Linked DNA regions of Struthio camelus. The protein of the gene in region 1 purifies or fractionates together with the protein of each later gene. This does not show direct contact. Links are inferred from orthologs where the notes say so. Each region holds a gene or a part of one and is shown on either strand. Other genes may lie near its edges.

Region 1 (3,910 bases):
AACACACATTCTTCTCAGTACGTTATTTACTCTGAAAGCATTTTAAAAGGATATCTAAAAGTTTTCTTTCCAATACTGTTCTTTGCATTTATCTTTTCTGTATTACGAGGTATTAACACTATTTGTACATTTCTAAAGATTGCAACAAAAATTAAGTATCAGAAAACATTTCAGAAGCATTTTATTCATAGACCTATCTCTAAACTGTTTGTTTTCTCATAAATGTCAGAAAGCACTGTTCTGACATAACTGGGATCACCTTTCTTTGTGCTGAAATGCATGTTTTACCCTGTCCCTTTAAAAATACCTGTTTTCCGAGAAAGATGAACGAAGGTACGCAGCTGTATCACAGACCCAGAACTGTGACTGCAAACGCTCAAAATCTTGTTTTCATTTCTAGAGTAAAATAATCTAAGAGCAACTAATCCAGTTTGCTAAGTATCAAGCTACATTTCACAGGAACGAGGAAAATAGTGCAACTTAAAAACAAGTTAATATTTCTGTTTTCCGTGTTTAAAAAGATAATCAATAAGTGAGATTTTTAAAACAGTATTTAAATACACTCTTGGCAGAAATTTTGCATATCAGCTTCGTGAGAAAAAAGTTTTGTAGACTGGTTCACTGAAACGGAGGTACTATGGAATCACTCACTAGAAAGCTTAGGCATTATCTCTACCAAAATTAAACGTGTGCTACAAAACAGGTATCTTAATACATCTAAATACATCTTCCATGTGCATGGTCTAGAAACGAGAGGTTACCTCTATCCTAAAATAAGAGAAGAAGATACTCAATTAGTGATTTTTCACTCAAAATGTTTGGTTCATTTGCATTTATATTTCTTAACGTCCACTAAAGGTATTCAATATGGTGCTTTTCCTAATAACGCCTTTATTTTACCTTAAAAGAAGTATGTTTTACTGTACTTACATTTATTTTACTGTATATTGGTTTTACTGAGTACTAGGCAACAAATTTTAGAAGTACAAAGGAAAAGCGCAAGTGCAAGAATCTCAGGCAAAGAAGGACGCTTCTTAGCATAAGAGACGTTGTTCAGCACCAAGGAAGGGAAAGTAACCTGGATTCTAATTTCTGTTTATCACTTGAATATGTTTCAAGAGCTACAGTTTGTTTATAGAAGTCAAGCCCAAGTTTGTACTTCCAACAAAGGACAGTGTTCTAAATGCTATACTTTCTGACTTAAGGTTTCTTTTGATGTGTGGCCTATATGACTACAGAATTATATTTAAAAAATTTAGGATTTAAATTTTCATGTCAAGAAAATCTCAGACATCCAAATAAAACCCCCAAGAGAAATATACAAACTTACAAAAAAACAAAAAGACAAGCACAAAGTGGTTTGGACACTGACAGGAAAACCTACAGAAAATACTTACAGAGATATTTTTCAAGATGACTAGAGATTGCAGATTCCCAGTTCAAGAAACTTACAAGTGCTTTATACTCCCTAGGGTCTATCACCTATTTTTGTGGACGTTATTTTGGGGTAGAGGGGTGAGGCTAGGGAAAAGGAACCGAGATCATGGAGATGTCTGTAGCTGAGAAGCCAAAGTGACAAGTCCCACGGAAATCTTAGCCAAGAGTCACTTTCAGTATCCTAAAGTCACTATAAAAGCGGGATGGGGGGGGTTTCCATACAACTTCCCTGGAAAAAGGGAACCAAAGGGGGTGGGGGTTGAAACAACCCTGGAAAGTCTAAACAATAGAGTAGGTAACTGAAAATTACACAAAAACAGCCTGAGGTTAGGAAGATCTCGCAGACGGCACAGACCGATCTTCAAGAAAGTTTACCTACTCCCACGGGGAGCGAGAGATGATCCGATAAAGGCATCTGCGATGCTCACCTCCCCGGGGTGGGGGGGGGATCAATGAGGCACGGCGCCGCTTTGGGGAGAGGCTGCCGCGATTTCCCTCGCAGGAAGCCGGGTAGGGGCCCGCCGCAGCACCGGCGGGGCCTAACCCCCTCCGCCCACGGAAGGCCTACCCACGGGGGCTCGGTGGCACCGGAGCCTCCCCGGGGGGGGGGGCGGTCCCCCCTCTTCCTCGTTATGTTTTGGGGGAAACAGGACTCGCAGACAAGGGGGGGCGGATCCTTCAGAGAAGGAGGGAGCGGGCCGAGGCGGGCGGAGCGAGCTGCTGCCCGCCGCCCGCGGGGAGGCGGGTAACGGCACCGGGGGGGGCGGGGACCCCCTGAAGAGGCAGCGCGGGGCGCCGGGACCCTCCCGGGGGCGGGCGGCTCGGCTCGGCTCGGCCCGGCCCGGCGCGGGGAGCAGCGGCGGCCGCCGGCAGCGGGAGGTCAGGGCGCGCGGCCCGGCCGGAGGGCGGCGGGGGGCGAGCGGGCCGGGGAGCCGTGCCTACCCCGGGCGCGCGGCAAAGAGGCGGCTGGGCACTCGGTCGGTCACTCAGTCACTCACCCGTGCAGGCAGACGGGCAGGCGGGCGGGCGGGGAGAGGAGCAGCTCGGGGACACCCCCACCCCCCGTCACTGCCGGTCGCTCACGGCCGTTCGCCCGCCGGGACCTTCCCTTTCATTCGGGGCAGGGGACGCTGCGCCGCCGCCGCCGCCGCCGCCGCCGCCGCCGAGCGCAAGCACGCACGCACGCACGAGCGGACGCACGCACGCACGGGCCGACGCACGCACGCACGCACTCACGGCGCGCTCGGGCCGCGACGTCGCGACGCTGCGGGGCGGCGCCCGATTGGCGCGCGAGGCGGCGCGGCGGGAGCACGCCGGGCCCTGCGACCTTCTGCGCACGCGCGCCCCCTCCCTTTTTTTTCCGCGAGGCCGTGAGGCGAGGGGAGCGGGGAAACGGAAGAAGGCGGAGCGGGGCGATTCTGCGCGTGCGCAGCACTCTCCCGCAGCCGTTGGACGGCGGGGGGCGGGGGGCGCTGAGGCTGCGCAGAGCCCCAGGCGCGCGGCGAGGCGCCGGCGCAGTCTCATGGAGCGGCGGCGGCGCGCTGAGGAGGGCTGGCGCATGCGCGCGGCTCTCCGGCGCTCAGAGACCGCCATGGGGCGGTGGGCTCGACGGCAGCCGGCGCTGCCTCAGAGGCGGCCGCGGGCCGCTTGCCGGCTCGGCCCGGCTCCTGGGGAGGGAGCGGGAGGAGTTACGGTTCCCCTGGCCGCCCAGCTGCGAGCCCACACTGGCCAGCTGCGGCTTCTTGGTCAGAGCCCCTACGGGAGGACTTTGGGCCACCAAAGAATGGCCTGGCTGGGCTAAGCGTTGTGCTGAGGCAGCAGAGCAAGGCCTCAGCCAGAAGGCTTAGGGATGAGGTGGGAAAGCGCATTAACCAGTAATTGGCCAATAATTGCGTTTGGGAAAGGAGGGAGGGTTGTTGGCTAGGCTAGAGCACTTTCCTAAGAAAGAGTAGGACTGAAATGAGAGAACTGAGCAGGACAACGGGAGGTAAGTGAGGCGAGCGTGGAAAGAAGCTGAGGTACAGACAAGCCTCAGCGACCTGAACAAATCCCCGTGGGATGCTCCATATTAAAAACAGTCTCAACTGAAACAGAAAATTGTCACTGCACTGGCTGCTTCCACAATAACTCTAATCATATGCCTTTTCCCTACCTCTTACCAATACTATATAGCAGGGAGAGCTAAGCATCATTTTGATCCTAGCTTCCCAGTTAGGTTCATGCCTACACATATCCTGCTCTCAGAGGATCCTTAGGAAAGGTGGGGTGAAGGAAGAGTTGTGTGGCGACATCCATCCCTTTGCTGTCAGCCCAGAGAACTCTCAGGACTCTTCTCTCTTGATAGCTGCAGCAGTAAAATCATTCAAAACACTTACAGAAAATGGGCTGTCACTTTGAACTGATACAAGTTAAAAAAAAAAAAAAAGTCAACAGTAAGAGTTATCTGAGCTGTAGGCATACACTACTACTTAGG
Region 2 (3,910 bases), on another chromosome or scaffold:
TGAACATAAGAGATTTTTAACTGTAGTTCACTAAAGTATTTCAGTAATCAGGAAACTGAAGTAACAGGCGAAGTAATAGGTGTCATCATGTATATTTAAGCCTCAATACTGTCAACACACTTATATAAGTAAAGTTCAGCATGCTTAAAGTACACGCTTACAAGACTGCTTACATTTCATTGTGTTACACCCTTCAGTGGAAATTTCTGATAGGCAAAATGAGATCTGAGTCTTCAGTATACTGATGCTTTTATTTGTCAGTCTGTAACTTTTGCACATTAGTACATGTAATATTTGCTTACCTTTGAAAAAGTTATTAGCAGATGCTTGTGTTTTGCTGCTCACATTAGTAGACACATTTTAAAATTAGAAAAATAGATTTAATAAGTCTTGTGAAAGCCTAATTCCTAGACACAGATACAGTAATACAGTACTACTGTACAGTTAAGTGATCTTTTTCTGATCAACACGTGCCTCCAAAAAAGGAATTCACAACACAGATCCTAATCTTTTGTTAGTGAATTACTGAGAAATATAATAATTCTTTCACAGGATAATCTCATTTTCTTACATAAATTAATTCACACATTCATATTTTGAAAGCAGATAGTAGCACTGCTTTCTTCTGAGTTCAGAGAAATTACAACCATGTTTAGAAAGTTGGAAGCTACAGCCAATCTCACTCTCTGCAGTAGCAGAAAAGATAATGGTTGTTGATGATCAGAAGCTGAAGGTACTGTCACTTTTAACTGTAAAAGAAGAAACTGCAACTCTGCTTACATTGTCTTGGTCTTACTTTGGTCACAAATTACAATGGGTAAAAACAGCAGCTACTAACTTCAAAGGGTCTGGAGTCACTCATCTGTTCAAGCTGCTTCTCAATACAACGTTTTGGAAATTTCCAATTTCCCAAACCACAAAAAGATTTAAATTTTAGTATTTACCTGTGTGACATAATATTTAAGCAAGGATGACGTAGCATCTAGCAATGTCCAGAAACAGGATCGAGTCTGCAGAAAAGGTCTTAAATGTGTATACTCAGGCAGTAACACTGATTGCTTTATCTATTGCTTATAGTTTTCCCAGCAGCAACATAAATCGTTATGATTTTTGTCAGCCTTATACCAATGTCCAAATACCATGGGGAAAGATGTCAAAAGCTGCTTACTCTTTAGTTCTGGAAAAGTAAATGCAAGTTTTGCTGCACATCTTTCTGCCAGTGCAGAAAAAATGCAGAATCCTTGCTCATGCTTGGATGATTAACCTTGAAATCATACAAATAAATGGATATACTTTTAAATTCAAATTTGAATTACACAAAATTTGATACATTTATTTCTAACACGTCATAGGAAAATTTTATACTGTGACAAGCACTGCTGAGCGTGCAGGGTTATTTCCCCTTCTTTACCTACCAGAAATCCTTGCCACAATCCATGCAAGAAAGGCACTGACAGTTTCTGCAAATGTTCACGTGTTTTTCAACTTGTGCTTTCTTCACCGACTCTCCACATGCACTGCATGTGAAAACTACCATTTTGGTGAGTGGTTAAGAGCTTCTGCAAAGATAGGGGCAAGCTTCTTCCTCCCCACACAAGTACAGTCCTAGAAAAACAAAAAGGAGATACTTGTTTCAAAGCCTGAAAGAAGCATTTGACAGCTCCGAAGAAACACAAATACTAGTGCCTCTGCCAGCAGAAAATCTAAGCAGTTTGATTTTGCACATATACAAGCTCACAAGCTAACACTCATTTTGTCTGCTAATTTATCCTGAGTGCAACTGTAGTCTAACCTGGAACTAATAAACCCAGGATCAGTCAAATAAATCCCTGCCTGCCAAATCTTACTGCCCACCTTACCAAAAAAAAAAAAAAAGTATTTGCTACGGCTACCAAAACTCTGATTCTTCCCGACACCTACGTAAATTTAATCTCTCGGCTTCACGTGCCCCAGTTGCGCCTTCTCCACCTTTCTCTCTTCCCCTGCCCATCCCGCGCCGCCCCCAACGACTCCATTTCAGCCGGCCCCAAGTCTCGCCCCCCGGCCCGGCCCGGCCCGGCCCGGCCCGGCCCGGCCCGCACCGCCGCCGCCGCCGCCGCCGCCGCCGCCGCCGCCCTGCTCACCGCTCGCCTCCGCTTCCCGGCACAGCCCCTCCCGCTTCGTCCCGCTCTCCCGTCCCGTCCCCTCACCCGCGCCGCGCCGCGCCGCGCCGACCCGCGCCGCTTCCAACCGCCGCCTCCAACCGCCACTCCAGCCACGCGCCCGCCAGCCCGCCCCGCCCCGCCCCGCCCCCGGCACCGCCCGCTCTGCGCCTGCGCCGCCGCGCCCCGCCTCCCCCCGCCCCCGGAAGCGGAAGGAGCGGCAGCGGCAGCGGCAGCGGAAGCGCCGAGCCGAGGGGGCGGCGGGGTTGGCGCCGGCGCCGGGCGGGGATGGAGCAGGGAGGCGGCTGCAGCAGCCGGTAAGCGCTGGGCCGAGCCTGGCCCGTTCCTTCCCTTCGGCCGCGCTGCCCGCCGCGGCCCCCCCTCCGGCGGCGGTAGCCCGCCTCCTGCCCCGCCGCGGGGCCCGGCTGCCGCTGCTCGGCCTCGGCGGCCGCGCTCTGCCCCAACCCCCGCGGCGGCGGCGGCCGCTCGGAGCCCGTTACCGGCTCTGCGGGGTCTCCTCGCCCTCCCGCGGCGCCGGCTGGTCGGCTGCTGCCGGGCAGGGCCCTCCACCCCGCTCACCGCCCGGCGCTGAGGCAAAGCCGTCCTCGGCTCCCCCTCTGGTGCAGCACGCCTGAGTGCGAGCTTTACCCAGGCAAGGGCGAGGGGAGCTTGAAGTGGCAGTTTAGGCGTAAATAGCGACTCTTGCTGGGGTTACCCTTGCCTGGGAGTAGCTCGAGGCGTATGCCTTTTCCTGGGGGGGGAAGAGCACCTGATTGCTGAGAAAAGAAAGTCCGAAGTCACAGGTTGTTTAAGTACTTGTAAGATCCTTTGTAATGAGAGACTTGCACAAAGAAAGGAGTTTCCCAGCAAACAGGTGTGGCTTACTTGTTTTAAAGCTGGTAAAAGGTACAATAGGATTACATGTACAGTAGGGAAAAGTACAATGTAATAGTGTGTCCTAATAGAATAGGAGAAAATGAATTGCAGTTGTGCAGACTGAATTACAATTTGGAGCCTTTAGTGTCTGTCAGAATTGAGAATGGGATAACCACTTTATTCTCATGTTTAGCCTAAGGCAGTTTTCCTGCTTCATTCGTTAGCTGAAAAAACATAGCTGCTAATTGTTCAAATAGTTGGAGTCGTCCTTTCATGTTTACAAGCGTGGAGAGGGGGAGAGTTGTCTTCTACTTTCTTTGAAATATGGAAGTGTGGAAGGTAAATATGTGTTTGTGGGAATAAGGTGTTAGTTGTTTCTTTTTTAACTTGTTCAGAAAAGTGGCTTTTAAAAGGAATTTTATGTCTTATTATGTAATAAGATTACCAATTCTAATGAATAAGACCCGTGTGGGAAATGTATGCGGCTATGACAGCAATGAGTTTGGTATAAATAATGATACTGCAAAGTTTTCCTGTTTGTGTCTATATGAAGAAACGGAGGTTTTTCTCTGCAAGTGTTTCTTTACTGTTGATGTTGTAAATCTGGAATGTTTTTGCCTGAGAATTTAATTCTTGTCAATGTTGTCTAAATTGCTTTTCTGTGGTTACAGAGTTCAGTTTATTGGCAGCACCCTTAACAAATGTTTTTTGCAGAAGCTCGCTGTAATAGGTAAAATTTCATTAAAAACAGTGTTTCCTATATTGCTATACTTCCTGCTCTGTTTCCAGTGGTGAGCAGTACTGTGATTCACCTTTAAAAAAGACAAATGTCATTACAGCTCATGTTGCAGCTCTAAACTGAAGTCTATTTCCTTTGGAAGCAAAAGGAAGTT

Evidence for each region.
Region 2: the proteins of PHF6 (region 1) and LYAR purify together in Homo sapiens (affinity purification with mass spectrometry; 3 studies listed by BioGRID and IntAct, with this or other methods). This does not show direct contact. The link is inferred for Struthio camelus from reciprocal best matches to the Homo sapiens genes PHF6 and LYAR.

The regions. Positions count from the first base shown.
Region 1 is NC_090952.1:23,543,968-23,547,877, forward strand, and holds the start of PHF6 (PHD finger protein 6), read right to left. Parts: upstream 2,709-3,910; 5' UTR 2,436-2,708; intron 2,174-2,435; exon of another isoform or gene 1,398-2,173; intron 1-1,397.
Region 2 is NC_090945.1:72,689,362-72,693,271, forward strand, and holds the start of LYAR (cell growth-regulating nucleolar protein), read right to left. Parts: upstream 2,297-3,910; 5' UTR 2,190-2,296; exon of another isoform or gene 2,124-2,189; intron 1,606-2,123; 5' UTR 1,538-1,605; coding exon 1,416-1,537; intron 1,011-1,415; exon of another isoform or gene 983-1,010; coding exon of another isoform or gene 945-982; intron 1-944. UniProt on the Homo sapiens protein: Plays a role in the maintenance of the appropriate processing of 47S/45S pre-rRNA to 32S/30S pre-rRNAs and their subsequent processing to produce 18S and 28S rRNAs. Also acts at the level of transcription regulation.